Drosophila melanogaster: one gene and its partner. The protein of the gene in region 2 purifies or fractionates together with the protein of the main gene of each other region. This does not show direct contact. Each region holds a gene or a part of one and is shown on either strand. Other genes may lie near its edges.

The links. The genes of interacting proteins can lie anywhere in the genome.
Region 1: the proteins of Ugt36D1 (region 2) and CG11200 purify together in Drosophila melanogaster (affinity purification with mass spectrometry, with the first as the bait; one large-scale study listed by BioGRID). This does not show direct contact.

The regions. Positions count from the first base shown.
Region 1 is NT_033778.4:20,302,834-20,312,209, forward strand, and holds CG11200 (uncharacterized protein), read right to left. Parts: upstream 5,839-9,376; 5' UTR 5,728-5,838; intron 5,667-5,727; 5' UTR 5,314-5,666; intron 3,804-5,313; 5' UTR 3,763-3,803; coding exon 3,582-3,762; intron 3,519-3,581; coding exon 3,411-3,518; intron 2,635-3,410; coding exon 2,253-2,634; intron 2,196-2,252; coding exon 1,799-2,195; 3' UTR 1,684-1,798; downstream 1-1,683. Other genes in the region: CG13868 (uncharacterized protein), read right to left, coding at 6,740-6,913, 6,980-7,350, 7,417-8,391, 8,437-8,676.
Region 2 is NT_033779.5:18,819,348-18,827,804, reverse strand, and holds Ugt36D1 (UDP-glycosyltransferase family 36 member D1), read right to left. Parts: upstream 4,258-8,457; 5' UTR 4,125-4,257; exon of another isoform or gene 4,062-4,124; intron 3,506-4,061; 5' UTR 3,500-3,505; coding exon 3,224-3,499; intron 3,009-3,223; coding exon 2,638-3,008; intron 2,572-2,637; coding exon 1,933-2,571; intron 1,876-1,932; coding exon 1,602-1,875; 3' UTR 1,089-1,601; downstream 1-1,088. Other genes in the region: Ugt36E1 (UDP-glycosyltransferase family 36 member E1), read right to left, coding at 1-295, 546-803; Ugt36F1 (UDP-glycosyltransferase family 36 member F1), read right to left, coding at 5,257-5,548, 5,634-6,082, 6,591-6,789, 6,853-7,235, 7,295-7,549.

The DNA of each region.
Region 1 (9,376 bases), on a different chromosome or scaffold from region 2:
CAGTAATAGCAGCCACGGCAGCAGCATCAGTAGCATCCCCTTCCGAAAACTTCCTCGACCAGGTGTCAAAAGCCAGCCATAACTAAGATGAGGAATACAACATCCACAATCCGCAGTCCAAATGCCCATTGGTGCCAGGCGATCCGATGAGTTTATTAAGCTGGCACTTAACACAAAAAAAAAATGATCGTTAATACATGAATTCATTATTTAATTGAGTCTGCAACAGAATAATGGTCAATACTTTGGATAAGTAATAACCATAACTATAACGATTTATATAAATATGTTACACATATTAATCAGCAAAATTATCCACACAAGCTAATCATTGGATTTATGATCAACCAAATTGATATTTTCTTTCGGTGCAGCAGCTGCCGGCGGATCGTTTGAGCTTGTCAGGTGAGGCATGTTGAGTGTTTTAATTACCGCCGGTGCACTGCGGACTGCAAGATCGGTTGCATCCGCATAAACCGGCAACTGTGGCCAGGTTTATTTGATTTACGCGTGGTCATTAGCCATTGCCAAGTGGCTAAGAAGTCTTGGTCTTGGCGCTGTCTGCCTGTCGAGAAATGTCAAAAGGTTAATTGGATTGTGGCAGCCGTAGCCGGAGATGCCACCGAAATTGAATTGAAAACTAAATCTGAAGCCGGACCCAGCCAAGAATCTTGTTGAAAGGGGAATGCCAGAATGGCTGGCCATTGAGCAGCCAACCAGAAATGGTCAATGGGTGCTCGAGTAAGTGGAATAAAGTCTAAGAGTATGGCAAATAAATTCAAAAAAATAATCTGTCTGATTAAAATGGAGATTCCTTAATCTGTGAGAGTATTTAAAAATTTAATTATAATTTTAATTAGAGAACATCTAATTTTATAAAAGAGATCGTTGGTCTTAAATTGAGAAACTTTTTTCATTTCTGCGATTTGCTTATCCCTACTCCCAAAATCCAATCAAGCGGCTAATACTCGCGAGGCATGCAACCGATGAAAGAAGCCGCAGAAGATGGGTTCATTCGGTACTCCACTCCGCATCGAAGACAGCCTGGGAATCTGGGCCGTCTTCGTCCACTGGAGCTTTGATTGATGACAGCGCCCACCGCATCGGCAGCTTCACACATTGAGTTATCGCCGGGTCTATCTCTTCATATAGCGATAGAGTCTTTTTTGGATATGCATTAAATATGAGATTGTTTTTTTTTTTGCAGCCATCATGTCGTTCGCTTTTAAGCGTTCAGTTCGCTTAAGTGACAGTCGAGTTGTAGTTGCTTCGCAGTTGTTTTTCGAGATGATACACCTACCTACCTGAGTTCCTCCGTCTCCGTACCGCTCTCCTGGAACCCCCATACTCCTGTCCCCTTAACTGAAGTCGATTAAAATTCCTCCAAAATGTTGAATGTTAATCGCTCATTGTTTGAGGAGGCGCACAAAATTAAATTGTTTGCTTTTTCGAAAATTTGACATACAGCAGATATGACGTGGTTGTTGTTGTTGTTGTCACCTTTCAAGCTGCCGCCGCCAACTGCTGAGTGCATTTTCAAATAAATGTTTCTTGCAGCTCTTTTAATTGCATTCCCTAGCCCCACGATGGCAATCAAGCGCAGACAAGTTAATTAAAACCTAGCACAGCAATTTGACCAGATTAGCATCAGCAGATCCTGAACACAAAACACCAGCTGCAGTTCTATATAAAAATGTTTTTATACAAAAGAAATCGATTTACAAAAAAGCTGACGGTATCTAGAAAAGTACGTTGCACCAGTAGGAGGAATGTGAGATAGACTGAGTGTGGAGTTCATTTAGTATTCGCCATTTCCGTACTGCTGGATTTTCAACAGGTCGCAGGAGAACTGGAAAAGCTGCTCGCACTTTGCCGGCTTCTTGGCATCCGGATGGAAAGGACCCTTTCCGCCGTTGGAGAGGTAAGTACCACCCTGACCCTCGATGGAGGGATCAATGGCCGCGAAGACCACCGTGCGGGATCCCCTTTCCGGAGTCTTGAAGAATAGCTTCTTGAAAATGGGCACCGATGTGGTGGCCGAGTGCTCGAACAGATCCGTGTCCACAATGCCCGGATGCACCACATTGACCTGCACGTGCGACTTTTCTGCATCCAGCAGTGTCTGCAGATGGCGGGTGAACAAGATCTGAGCAAGCTTTGACTGACTGTAGGCGGTTCCCGGGTAATAGTGTTTTCTGCAAGCAGTAAAACCTAGTAAATAAGGAACTTAGGCGACAATTACTCAAACGTACGTTCCGTTAATGTCCTTATAGTTGATGCGTCCAATGAGATTCACGCAGGAGCTGACGTTCACGATCCTGGAGTTCCTTCCCTCCTTGCCTGCCGCCCTCAATTGAGGCAGAAGCAGGTGGGTGAGCAGAAAGTGTCCCAGGAAGTTGATGGCAAAGTGCGACTCGTAGCCATCGGCGGTTAGTTTGAAGGGCGCAAACATGATGCCAGCATTGTTCAGCAACAAATCCACTTTTGAATACCGCTCCTTGATGAGCTGAGCAAATGCCTTTACGGATTTCAGATCCCCAACATCCAGTTGCTCGCAGATGAGCTTGCCCTTGGTAGCATTCAAGTCGACTATCGATGCAACTGCGGTTTCGGCAATTTTGGGATCACGAACGCCTGCAATAAATGCATAAATTAAAGTGAGCCACTGACAAAAATTGCTGAGAGGACAGAACTTAATTAATAAATATCCTTTAAAACACTTTTTTATGAGTGTTTTCTAATCTACCCTATTTTACACAAAATATAAGCAATATAAGCGACACCTAGCGCCTGTATAGCGCACTTCAAGCTCTGGTTTTTACATCTATACATTTTACATAAGTTCAATGTAGAAAATAACAGTTGACTGTTAAATGATTAAAATGTTTATTATTTTAACTAGCACTAACAATAAAATTAAATATATTTAAAAAAAAAAATGATTTCTTAATAAATGAATTTTCTTAGAGACTAAAATATGCAGTGAAATTGTAAGTAAACGTATTAAAGCAAGAAATTGGAAAAGCAACAAAAAATGCCATTTTCAAAAATGTTAACGAGAAAATACAAAATAATTATTGATAACTGTGACCCTTTTCATTGAAATTTAGAATTCTTTTCTCCGACCAGTCAATGAACTCTTATCGCTTGTCTTTCCCGAAAATCGAGACTTTTACGCGACTTGGTTAGATAATGAAATCAGGAGAATGGGTCATGATTTCTGTATCGCATTGACAAGGGTGGGAATGGATCTGCATTTCGACGATCGTTTATTCGATGTTCGATTTTAGCTTGCCGAGCACGTGCACTTGCAGCACGGTTAAATGTTTGTGGAATTCATAAGCAGATCGCCGACTTATGGATAGGAATAGGCCTGAAACAAGTTGTTGGGCGGAGATTGGTCAACTCACCCATGACGACAGTCATGTCGCAGGCCAGCAGCTTCTCCACGATCCGCAGTCCGATGCCGCGATTGCCTCCGGTGATGACAGCAATGCGGTCCGGTTGTTTATAAAGTGCTTAATGGATAATGGCAACAATTAGTGATCGTGGAATAAGCATCGGCTAGCAAATTGACTTACCCACTCGATCCCGTGCCTTATACTGGGCATCGTGGACGAGCCCAACGATTCCCAGGTACTGATACCGAAACTCAGTCTTCCACTCGAACCAGGACTTCGGGAACTCCTTGGTGGTCTTCGAAAAGAGGAACGCACACAGCAGCAGGCCGACGAAGAAAATCCACAGCAAAGTTCCCAACATTATACGCTCTTATCGGATCGGATCGCCGTCTCTCCGGAACTCTGCAAAGGGAATACGGGTTTTGATAAGAAATCGGGCAAAGTGCGCCGGCTGATAACGAAAACCGATCCTGGTTCGTCACAGACATTAGCCATTAGCCGGCAACATTATCAATATTGGCGGGTAAATTCGCCTCGAGTGCACTTTGCGAAACTCTTCAACTGAGTCAGCAAGATTTCGCGATCCGAGTGCCAGCGGGTACATCTGTTGGCCATATTCGTTTGGAATTCTAGGTGTGTTGGCCATATATACTTGCCAGAGATTGATTCGTGTCACGATTCAGCTGCGAATAGTCGAGCTTCTACAATTATCATGCCTTTATACTATCAAGTTGGCGTAACAGTAGAGAGTAACTAATCACTTAAAAATGTGGTTTAATTATAAAGCTCGAACTTTTTGTAGAATGATCTTTGCTATCAATTAAAAAGGCTTTTACAAAAGTGCTGTTTTAACGCACTAATCCTAATTCGACAGAGTAACAAGAATGATGTTTGAAATCTCAGAATTTTCACCAGGAAACCCCATTTTTGGGGATAGAAGTCTAATAATTAATAAACTTTTTAATGATATTTATCAGAGAGCGTGTTCTGAAATCGACTTGACCCCATTGGCCGTCGAATAGCTTGAGTTGTTGCCTCTTTCCCTCAGTTTTTTCTTATTTGCCCAGCAATTTCCAGCGTTGGTTAGCCGGGCTTATAAAGCTAACGCGATTGTTTGGCCACCGATATTTGCAGTGCATATTTGCCACCTGCACTTTGAGCGCTGCACTGGAATCTTAATTTTTAATCGGGCGGGGAAACAATTAAATTAATTAGACAGAAGATAGTTGAGCGCGTTTATTGGGAGACAGCGAGAGAACTGGCTTAGGTGTGCTCGTAAAATGCTAATTAAAAACCCAAACAGCGGCGGAATGAAAGTTGAAGAGCCGAGCTTCGAGCCAAAGCCAATAAACGGGGCCAAAATAGTGAATTTGGGGCCAGAGCTGAAAATGACTGAGGCGCTAAACAGCAACAACTAGGGTCGGTTTCTTTGGGCTCTTCTTGCGGGGGCAGCGGGGAAATATCTGTACGGACGACCTAGCATAGTACACTGCGAAAAACTCTTTAGTATTGGTGTAAAATATAAAAATATTTACAAATTGTACTGCGCAGAATGGTTTTCCATTTTAAGAAAGTTAAGGAAATAGAATTATTTTTCTTGAGTGAAGGTTGTTTGAAATTCTCTTAATTGCTTTATCTTTTATAATAGATTGCACTTAAAAGATAAGAACTTCACTACAAATTAGAAATAGGTTTTGTATGAATTTTTCATTTTTCACATAAAGTAATTCCATTTTTTCTGTGTGTACGCATGACACCACGAACGTGCTGTCAAGAGTTTCGACTTCCGTCAACAAAACGCAAAAGCTTAGCAGTTTTACTGTTGTTGCCGCGGTCGTTTTTAATTTGGCTGCATATGGTTAACTTTCTTTTTCTATTGTTGTTGCCCTTGCAGAGGGCTTTTCAATTTTACCTTCAATTTGGCTGACGCAGACGAAAATGCACCTGTGCCTCGATTTCTATGCTAATATTGACACCCTTTTTTTCAATTAAAGGCTGCGGCGGCGCTTCCTCGTCTTTTTGTTTTCTTTCACGTTTTCGAAGAGGATCAATCGCTGGTGTTTGAAAACCGGTTTTTCCAGCGGGCCCTTATTTTCGCCACAACCGCTCGGCGAGAAATTCAAAAGCGAACTGAACGTTAGGTTTTAATTGCGCGCCTTTCCGCCAAGAACTTGATCCACGATTGTTGTTGTTTTGTTTTGGCTTATTGCCGCTGGTCAACAGGTGAATTTTACCCACTTGCCGGCTGATCACGCAGAAAAACAGCTGATATTGTACAATTACGTGGTTATGCAATGGTTAAGCGGGTCGGTCGGCGTGTTGTTACCTTAGTGTGCACTCACAAAAACGCTGATTTGAAACAACTTAATTGAAATAACTGCAGACAAGCGAAAATCCAAGGTGGATATACATCGATGGCACCAGGGCTGCACTTTCTCTGTTTCAAAATATCGATTGTTGATGTAATCATCGATATCTGCCGTCAGTATGCATTTTTCTTTATTTTGTCCTTATTCATTTGTAAATCATAAGAAACCTGAGGTTTTTAAACAAATGTTTTTATTACAGAGAAACAGAGTTTGCGTGTGCAAAAAATACCTAAATGTTGAGCTAAGCTTATTAACAGTAACATGTCTATTCTATGTTAAGCTACTGTTACCAAACTAATCGATATCACTGCCATAAAAATATCGAAATTCAAATTTAAGGCAATAATACACCTTTAATCTTTTCATGTTAGTTAAAGTTCAAGTAAAATTATGTTTTAAGTCTCCCAACAAAATACCTTCTTTCTTTTGCTAGCTGATTTATTTATTGAACCGAAATAGTACAGTGCATTTAAGTGTTTAAACGGAAATATGTTCGTACAACAATTACAATTTATGTTTTGCCTTGATACCAGTTATAACTAATTTTGCCATTATATAGTTGCGCATAAGTATATATATAGTTTGAAATTAGAAGAACCTAAGCGAAACATTGAAGTCTAAACTTTGCGCATTTCTTTTAAATATTTTGAATAAAATTTCGTTTCGCTTTCGATTAAATAATTCAGTTGGGATTACCATATAGAGCGTGTTGTCGTGTTTATAGGTGAATAAATATTTTGAAATATATACTAGACTAAATTGAATATATACTTGAATCGTGTGTGCTGGTGTAAGAGGTGCCTATATGCTACTAAAAAGAATATTACTGTGGAAAGGACAAAGTATTCAAAGTATTCAAATAGGTTCGGAACTCTAAGTTGCAGCTGCGTTGTCAATGTCTTTTATCGCCTGTTCCTCCATCTTCGTTTCCGTTTCCGTAGCAGCGACATCCTTAGGCTCCTTTAACTGTCAATTCTCCACGGACATGTTGCCGATGTCATCGTTTATGGCCAGCACCTGGCTGATGAAGCTCTGGTCGGTGACCACCTCGGCCAGGGATTTGCACAGTTCGGTCAATTCCGGCAGCGGTATCTTCAATTGCGGCGCCAGCCTGCTAAGATGTTGACCCACATAGTCCGGCAGCTGATGGGTGATAATAACTGGGTTAGTAATGGGTAACCATTGGCTATAGCTATCAGTGATCCTTACCTTTCCCTTGCCCACTTTAAACGCGCTGAACATCAGCTTCGTCCGCACTCGCTGCTCATTGGGTCCGTCGTAGAAGATGGTGAGGTAGGCCTCCTGCCCATTGGCCACCAGCGGGAAGTAGATGCCCGCATAGACCTGACCCTTGGCATCGCGGGAGAGTAGCGATCGGAAGTTGTACACCAGATTGCGGCGCACGGTCACGTCGATGGCCGTGATGTACTCTTGGGCCACGTAGATCAGCGATGTCTTGTAGCTGGTATCCTCGCCACGGATCTCGCGCTCCTTCCACTCCACGAATTTCCCATTCTGCTGACTGTAGGCATAGCAATAATCACGCTGCAGATGCGGCTCCTTGGATTGGGTGAACCAGCCTAGAAACATATTGCATCCATCAGTATATATGTATTACAATAGGCTAAGCGGAGATTACAACTCACCAGTGTGCGGATAGCTCTGATCCTGCATAACAGTCACCGCTCGGCTGACATGGTAACCTGGGTCCAGGATCATCACACCCCGTCGATCGCCGATGGCGATGCGCATGGCGACCATGACGTGCTCCTTCTCCACACCCGCGTCCACCGAATTAAGGCCGCACTCCTCGTCCAACTGAACGTAGTCGTTGCAGTCCATCACCTGCTCCTCGCAGGACACAACGTACAAGTAGTTGGCCAGCACCGGGAACATCTGCACCATCCTGGCCATGATTTCGAACGCCAGCGAGACGCACATGTGATGGCGTCTGTTGATGGGCACATCGTAGAACTGAAAGAAGCTACGCAGATCGGAGCGACGCGTGCGCTTAAAGCTGCGATAGAAGTCAACGAAGAGGTTGACCGTATTGTAGTGCGTCTCCTCCAGCATTCGCTGCAGCGTGGTCTCCACTATTCCGTTCAGCTCCTCATACTGCCAGACATTGTCGAAGATCAGGGTGCCCTTGCCAGCGGACTCCGAGCTCGACCAGTCGGGCAGCGGCAGCGGATGACCCAGGGGCCACACTCCGTTTACCTGATTGAAGGCCTCTAGGTCATAGCCGTCGCCCACTATCCATTGAGCGCCGGAGATGCCCTCCAGAGCAGCTGCGACGGGCTGCTGTCTGGCCAACAGCTGCCTGATGTCGGAGTAACGCTCCGATCTATCCACCGATGTCAGATCGGGCGAAGGCACCAGCTCGTGGTCCTCGAGGTCCTCCTCCTCTTCCTCCTCCTCGCTGGAGGTGGAGGGTGTGCGACGAATGGCGCCAGTGCCATGTGCAGTTGGGTGCTCAGTTGCGGATAAATCAGATCGCGTCGTAGTCAATCCCAATCCCATTCCGCGCACCATCGCATCCGCCAGCTGCTGATCCGCCGGGAGCAACGGATCGTGGGCAGCGGCGGCGGCAGTGGCCTCTTCATCCTCATCCGGAGAGGCCACTCCCCCATCCTCCCGTCGGTGACTGGTGGCAACGGCGAGTCAACTCGGCCATTCGGAGCCCCAGCGGCCCACGGTGGGCACATAGCCACTTTCGCAGTCATTGAGCGTGGCGTCTAGTTGAATGTTGGCGAACTGTTGTTGGCTTGAATGCAGTGATGGTTGTTGGGCAGCTTGGCCAGCCTGGGCGGCTCCAGCTCCAGCACTGATCAGACTAATCCGGCCCTGCGCTCGCTTGAACAGGAGGTCCGGCTCGTCTCCAAATTTCGTCGTTGGTTTAGACTGATCTGTATTTCATTTGTGGAAGAAATAAGATCAAGAAAGTTGATTAGAAGATGAATTGGTAAGGAATAACAAATAATAAGAATATAGTCAGATGTGGATTACAAAGAAAAAAGGACGACAGGTGTTTGTTTTTCAGCGGAATATAACCTTTCAACATTCCTTCTTTTTATAACAAGATAAGGTAGGTTCCATTAAGTATCAATTATATAAATTCCCTCTGCTTCATCTGCTTTTCAATCTTGAGATTACGGACCCTTGACCTGCACCCTTGGTGATCCCTTTTCACTGATTAGGAAATCCCTCCAGCAATTAGCGCAAATCGCAGCTCAGCAGGTAGTTGTGCCCTTATCAAAGTCAAGTCAAATGTAATTATCCCTAGGTACGCAAAAAAACACCTCGTAACCATCTGGCTGTCTAGTACCCAGTTTTTCGAGCAGTGTGTTGTCATGAAGTCCGAGAGATGTACAGTCGCTCTGCCATCGGGCAATAAACAAATTGCCATACGACAATACAATGTCCATATACATACTACGTAAGTACTTGTTATCAACGGGAGGCAGGAAGTGGGCGGGCACTTATAAATGGGTTCCAAGTGCTGATTGCTAACTTTCGTTAGTTGCAGGCAATAAAACACAGCACAAGTACAAGTACGAGCACAAAGGCACAATTGTTTTCCCCCCTCAAAGTGTCCACGTGCCGCCA
Region 2 (8,457 bases):
ACAATGCTGATATATACGATGGGATCAGAGGGGCTCCAAATCGTTCATAATGCCATGGCATCAGGGCACAGCTGCTCATTCCAATGACCGGAGCTTGGAAAACATGGGCCACGCTCATCGCACAGTCAGTATTGAATTGCTCCAGTAAAATTACATCGTAGTAGCCAGGAGGATTCTTAAGGATCTCAGTTAGGGCTCTGCTGTGCAGTGTGGTATTGCAGTCCTCTCTTCCCATTTTGTGCAGGATAAAGAACTCTACATAGTGAAATAGGAAGCTGTAGGGCCGTTCGAAGTCCTGGTAAAACCGATAGAAAAAGTGGGTTTCTTAATTTAAGTATAGGTTAAAAGAAAAGGTTAAAATCTGAGATAAGCTCAGAATATAATACTATTGTATAATAGTACATCTGGGGTTACGCTTACACATTTCAAGTTCGTATCACCTAAAATATAATAACACCAGCACTCACTCATCATTTAAGTTATGACCCCTTTATGTACCCTTTTTTTATGGGTATGCCATCTCATTATGGCTTTGAACAACGCACCTCTAAGCTAATAGTGTCTGTCAAGGTGGAGGGCGGCAGCAGGTGGTCCTTGTATCCGTTTGGAGGGTCCTTGTCCTCGAATGGACTGATGACATCCACGCTGTGACCGGCCTCGGCCAATCCGCGCATGATTGGGTGAAAGAACTTGAAGTGACTGATGGCCGGGTGCGGAAACAGACCCAGAATTCGCAGGGAATCGCTGAAAGCGACCAGGGAAAGTAGCGCCAGCAGGCAGAAAACCTTCCAACAACCACACATTGCGCTGGAAAACCGGGGGAAAGGGTCAAGTTCTTGTCGAGTCAGCGGTGCAAATCGATTTTCGTGATGATATGAGTTTTACATGCTGTGGAATGCACTTCTAAATTTAACAAATGCGATTATTTTTTTCATTTTACAATTAGCAAACAAAAATAATATTCTCCGGCGTTTCACTCACACGGGGAGATAGAGCTAGATCCGGAACGGTCGGAAGATGAGCATCAACTGACGCCGGCGAGTAAAAAAGCTCAATTAGGCGCCGAAAGCATACATATACTTATATTTACATACATACACACATACATAATTCAATCTTTTAGGGGGAACTTAAAAAGTATCGCAACATGTAAGTGCTCTTGGCTAGAAATAAATACATAGGGAATTTCATCTACGAATTTCCGAGCATTTGAACATTACTGATGCGCACGGCATTGAAAAAGAGTGAAATATTTTAAAAACTTTATTTATTTCCGTACTAGAAACAATTTTCAGATATTATATTTCTTCTAATATGTTCATTTCCATTCATTTAAAAATAAGTTGTTCCTTGCAGTTGTTCATTACAACATTATAACATTATTTTAATAATATTCCCGTACTAGATACAATATTCGAAAACTACGTTCGTTTTAATCGGGTAAATCCCAATAGTATCAAACATTAAATTAATTTGGCGTCGCTAGGATTACATCTAGATACAGTCCGTGGGGGAGGCGTCTTTAGAATTAAAAATGTCTTACACAGAACATATAAAATATCACATAGACCACAAACGAAGCTGTGCAGGGATGAGTCGAGCTAATCCTTCTTAGTCTTCTGGGCGGCACTGGATCCGCAACAGAGTCGAAGGAGCCACACCCAACTGGCAATGATGCTGCCCAGGACGAGGGCCAACACGGCATAGACATCCAGGGAGTAGTAAACGAATCGTGACATCTCGACGGCACTGGGCTTCAACAGAGGAGCTCCGCCAGTGTGGGCCACATGCTCCACCCACCAAATGGCTGTATGCAGGGCCTGCTGTGGGCGGTGGTGGAACGAGTGGGAGACTACTTTGGCAGCATCGTGGAACCTGCAAATCAAGTACATTTAGTTTCGGCTAAAACAGTGCATGACATGGTACTCTCACTTTTTGTCCAAAGCCTTCTTTAGTGCCCTCATCACCGTGTTTTCGCCTATATCCTCGAAATTCAGGATAGTTCCCATGCCTCGCTCGACCAAAGCGGCCGTATTGACAAACTGATCGCCATACATGGGCGTCGCAACCACTGGGACTCCACAGTAAGCTGCCTCCGAGGTGCCCATGAGTCCGCCGTGGGACATGAACACCTTGACGTTGGGATGGCAGAGGATATCGCGTTGTGGCAACCACTTCATAATGTGCATGTTGGGTGGCTGGTTAGGCAGTGTTTCGTTTTCCCATTTCCAGATAACCTTCTGCTTTAATCGAGCCACCGCCCGAATAATGCCATCCCTTTTCGCCGCCGACAGGGAATTCGCCCGGATCATTGATCCCCAACTAATCAGGATCACTCCTTCCTCAGCATTGTCCAGAATGCGCTGCAGATCGGCAGGCAGAGGCTTCGATTTCTGGATGTGGATGCCACCCAGCTCGATGACATTGGGCGGCGTTACCTTGGGTCCAGACAGCGAGTAGTGCTGGTTCACAAAGAACATGGATGTGTTCTTCACCAGCTCGCCCACCGAAGGCACGTCATGGCCGAATTTGTACTGAACCATGGCGTCGGCAGCGGGAACCGATAGTAATCTGCGACCGAAAACATTAATATAATTGGAGATGTTATGGAGTTCTTAAAGAAATTGTGAGACCCACTTGTACATCCAATTTAAGGCGTGGGTGCTGAACCAATTGGCCAGTCGTCCCCCAAAGTTCATGTGCTGCGACTGGGCCATGAAGAGCGCCGGGATGTGAGAGGGTATCAAAGGAGCTCCCATTCGCTCGTAGTGCCAGGGCATCATCACACAGCTGCTCAAGGCGATCACCGGCGCCTGGAGCTGGTGGGCCACTCCCATCATGCAGTCAGTGTTGAATTGCTCCATGATGATCACATCAAAGCGTCCCGGACGCCTGAGGATCTGCTGCAGTGCTTCCGAACGGAGCGTCAGGTTGCATGTCTGTTTGCCCCAGTCGTACAGCAGGAAGAACTCCTGGAAGTGACTGTAGAATGTGCGCTTCTCGAAAAACTAAAAGAAGAATAGAATGTTTAAAACAATGCCTAGTAAATCATAGTAAGTCAAGTTACTCTGAATATATAGCTAAGTATTTCTCAGATTTATGACTATTCTGAGTACATTTTTTCAATGAATACAATCATTTAGGTTACAATAAATAAACGAAACAATAGATAGGTTTACGACACGTAGATATGTGTGTACATGGGATTCCCCTTTTCACTCACCTTGAGATCAACACTGTTCGTGAGCTTGTCCATTCCGGTGAGGGGGAAATCCTTGTAGTGGGCAACCGGATGCTTGTCCGGGAAGTGGGAAACCACGCTCACGTCATGACCCGCCTCGGCCAGACCCTTCATGATGGGGTGGAAGAAGTGGAAGTGGCTAACTCCGGGATGGGGAAAAAGACCCAGCACCTTCAGCGGACCAGCGGCCTCCACCAACTCGTCCGGTTGGCTAAGTGCTAGGGCCAGGAAAAGTAGGGCAACCCGCGGCGACCACATTGTACCCTACGGCAAGTGAAATAAATTCAACATTTTATTTTAAATTAATCACGAATAATTAATTGAAACTTCTCGTCAAATACTCAATTAAGATCACTTGGTATACAAATTTAGCTATTCGTGACATGTGTAATTATAACTATAGAACAACTTAAAAAGGGCTTAAAATTGTACAAGAAAATGAGACAGAAATATGACGGATGTACATTTTACACATTAAGGTCAATGCTGATTTTTTTAATATATAGCTTTTTAAGAAATGTATTGGTATCCAAAATTCGGAAATTGAATTTAGAAATGGTATTTGCATAAGAACAGATTATCCTTAGCGTTGCACCTTGTGCAGAAACTTAAACACTTGTTGACTCTTGGGTTCTTGGCTTTTCAGTATTTTCGAGCGACCTTGAGCGGGGCGGTGGGCGGCAATGCGCATGTCGCGGATGCGAGAAATGCAGGGAAATTATGTAAAGAATGCGGACGAAAGCAGCAAAGGAAAACACAAGCACAACAAAAGCAACTGCAATTGCATCACAAACGGCACTGCACCCGCTAATATATTCACAATTATCGCCTGGTGAGGGTCTTTCATCCGGAATTCAATTGAACCGCTGAACTGGATACACACACAATATTATCCAAAAAACGCGGAGTCGTCGCTTTCGAACATAAATCCTGTTCTGGCTCACCTTCCACTCTTACTTACTTGTAAGACTGCCGACAAGCGACTGACTAAATTCGGAGACTACATCCGAATGAAAAGCTTTTCGGTCAACGCTCGAGTCCGCAGCCGAAAATGCTCAGTCAGCGATCGGAAATCAATCGCAGTCTTCGGCGGTATTGGCAATCTGGCTATATTGTAGCCAAACTGTTATCATGGCTTCTAAAATAAAATTAATATTTTATAAAACCCTAGGATTCCAGTTTTGTATATAAAAAAGCACTTTTGCAAAAATTTCAAAACTATATAAGTTGATTGGGTTTTTAATCAAATTTGTTTAATTTATTAATAGTAACAGCCGTCATTTATATTTCAAATGAAAGTGAAAACAAGTTTTTGCATTCTTTTTGGTTTATAAACAACGCCTAAACTTGCTGAGTTTTTATCGGGCTTTCTCGTAAGAATTTTAAAACAATGAAAATTGGGGAGAGTGTAGATGCCCTAGTGCACACGAGACTCAACTACCGGATGTAGAGAAAGTCTATCAAGACAAGCACAAGTCTGCCGATTTATTATCAGCCGATGTATGCGTGTTTTGCCCCAAGGCTCCGCTTGTTTACAATTCATCGTACGGGCTTGTTTTCGGTTTACGGAAGGTACATATTGTACATATGTACATACCATACATATATGAACAATAGACAAGAATAGACATTTCTTAGGAATCTTTAAAATTTTCCATGTTAGCAAGCTCTTTTAATATTTCGAAAAAATACTAATTCGGTTACAAAAATGTAATTGCTACAAACAAAACGACACTGTTAATAATAGAGCTGATAATATTGTATAAATTTGAAAGTGAAAGCCGTTTTCATTATCAGTTTTGGTTTGCTGACCTTTCCATTCACAAAAAGCTGAGCTATGTAACATTAATTATATATGTTTTTAATTACGAATAAATTAAGCAAAATCGTTGTCTCAGTAACATATTTATACAATATAATTTTGTTCGGAATACGCTTTTTGACATGCGACCCATTTTCCTGACATTCATTAATTTCTCTGACTAAATCTCAAGTTCATTGAACCAAATAAACATTTATTGCGTCTTTGTCTTAGTATCTCTAGAGATTTTCCCCCGACAAAAAGCTGTTTTGAATATCTTTATGAGCTTCCGCAGGGCGACAATCAGTAGAAATAAGATTCCCAGCCAGAACAGGAGAACATCGATGGAATTGTAGACGATCCAGTTTATGTGTCTGGCTTCACTTTGGATATGTGGAGCTCCCCCATACTTTATGACATGCTCAATCCACCAGGTGGCCAATTTGATAGGGGGAATGGGACGCTGGCGAAATGCTTCGCTGGATCGTCTAACTCTTTCCGCGAATCTGTAAAATAATACAATCAAAAAATGTTAATAGTAAACAGTTATCAAGGAAATCTGAATAGATTGCTTCTTTAGAAACCCATTACTTTTTATCAAGTATAATACGAAGTCCTCTGGTTATGTGATTCGAATCGAAGTCTCTGAAGTCAACGATAACTCCGAAACCTCTTTGTTTCACTGCGCCTGAGTTGAGAAACTGATCTCCGTAGAAAGGTGTCACCAGCATGGGAACTCCACAGTGAATCGCCTCCGTGGTGCCCAAAAGTCCGCCATGGGAGATAAAAGCCCTGATCTTTGGGTGACACAAAAGATCTCTTTGTGGCAGCCAGTCGAAAGTGTAGAGGTTCGAGGGCTGTTTATCTTCCAGAGATTCTAAACTTTTCCAGCGCATTACAAAGTTGTATTCCTTAAGTTGGGAAATGCTTTGGAAAAGCGCACTTCGCTTGCCCGAAGGAAGTGTATTGCTGTTTACCATGGAGCCCCAGCTGATATAGATTACTCCATTGGGAGATCGATCCAGAAGATCTAGCAGGTGCTGAAACAAAAAGTATTTGTTTAACATCTGGGTTTATATATATGTACATATTAAATGTTGTCCTACAAAAAAATATTGTGTAATATTTGGTAATCTCATTAAAATGCGACTGTATTTTTTTCAGTTCGACTGTTTTGTCACATTTTTCATATTGGATTAACAGTGGCTAATCGCGGATTACAAAATAGCATAAATAATCAAATGAATCGCCTGTTAAGGGATCGAAATAATTATTAAATGCTCATGTCTACAATCCCCATTTTATCTTTTATTTTATTTGTTTGAAGTATGCGGTACGATTTAAATATAATGTAATTAGTTGATAAGGAGTTCGGTGACCTACAGAAAAAACATTTATGTGATTAACAAAGATAACCGGTTATCTGGTCAAATAAGACAGTTCCATAGATAATTTATTTTCTTTTAGCTATAAGCTCATGTGAATTATCTATACTGATCTTAAACATTTCATTTGGCCTCTTAAACCGCAGTAAGTGATTCAACTTACTTGTGGAAGTGGTTTTATCGGCCCCACTTGCAGCCCACCCACTTCAATCACATTCGGAGCATAGGGGCGTGGTCCGGTTAGGGCGTAATGCTGATTGATCAGCATCAGACTCGTATTCTTCACGATCTCATTGATGGGCGGCAGACCGGGTCCAAATCTCTCAGCGATCAGGGCATCGGTGGCTGGTTGGGTAATCATGCTGTTCAAGGAAAATTCGATTCAGATAACTGTGCACTTGAGGATCGAGGCAAGTGACACCCACTTGTACAGAGTATTAACGGTGTGGAAATGAAAGAAATTATTCAGTCGATCGATCAGACTCATCTCATCAGTGTAGGGCAGGAAATTCATGGGCATAATGGGGTTAATGAACGGACTTCCCATGCGTTTGTAGTGCCACGGCATTATCGCACAGCTACTCAATGCGATTACAGGTGCATTCAATAGGTGGGCCACCGCTGCCATGCAATCGTTGGAGAAGTGTTCCAGGAGTATGACGTCATATCGAATGGGGGACTTGAGCAGTTGGGTGATGAGGGGTGAGTTCAGGGCCACCTTACAGGATCGCAGACCCCAATCGTGAAGCATAAAGTAGGTGGGCACCTTGAACGGCAGTCCCAGGGGCTTCCATTCGGATTCAAAGTTCTAAAATTCATAAGTGAATACATAATTACGAAATATAGTTGAACTTGAACTTCACCCACACTTAAGTCCACAATATCGGTGAGCAAGGGCATTCCTTGAAAGACGTAATCCGTGTAGTTGGCCACTGGTTTCTCCAGTGGAAAATAGCTATACATGCTAATGTTGTGACCCCTCTCCGCCAAGGCCAAGAACATGGGACGGAAGAAGTCAAAGTGGCTCTTTCCGGGATGTTGAAACAAGCCCAAAATGTGCGCCGCGTCATTGGGTTTCGGTCTTAATAAAAAGGCTAATAAAGCCAGAGGTAGCAACTTCATTGCTGATCACTTTATTCACATAAAAAGAACGGAAAATAAAAATTATTTATTTTAATCGAGATTGCATAATTAACACTTTTAAGTGTTAATAATCGTTTTATTTGCTTGAACACAGATTTTGTTTTTTCTTGTAATATTGGTGAAATAGGGTATTGTAGGACAATCACTACTATTTTGATTACATTCTCATCTTGCTTGAATTTAAAATGGGGCTTTTCACTTTATAGTATTGCATGTGTTACTACTATCTATATAAGTTATTTAATGACAAATAATTCGAGTTACTTGCCGAACTTTATCCCATAGTTATTCTACGAAAACTCTTGGCTAGATGCAACAGAGCACCATCAGAGTTCTGCACCAAAGATCAAAGTTAACACAGGGGAGACAAAAGGTTGTTGTTGCACTTGGTGTTTCAGATACTTTGTTTCTGCAGCTCTGCACTTCGTTGCACTTGCAACTTGAACGTTTAAACTGTGAATATGCTAAGATCGTGACCGGAATTTGACTGGCAATTGTCTTTTGGAAAGAACTTTTAGCGACAGGTTTCCCAAGAGTTTCATACAAAGTTGCGACCATTAAGAGGTGTCCGTCCAATTACTTAACTATAGGTTTAGCCTGCAAGCCTAATATAGCAATTTTTGAGTACACTCTTGAGTACGTTCTTGAACTATGATTATTTTAAACCGAAATAGATTTAACCTTTATGCATTTTTTTTGACCCATTTTTATTTACGTTTTGAGCTATACTTGACTTAGCTTGATAAACGATTTTATTAAGTTATTTTCTGTCTAGTTATTGGCTTTAAAATTGCCGAAATTGTATATTTCAAGAGTAAAGTACCAGCTATATCCGATGCCAGCTTACGATTTCCTATAAAAATTCAAATTGCAACTTGACACAGCAA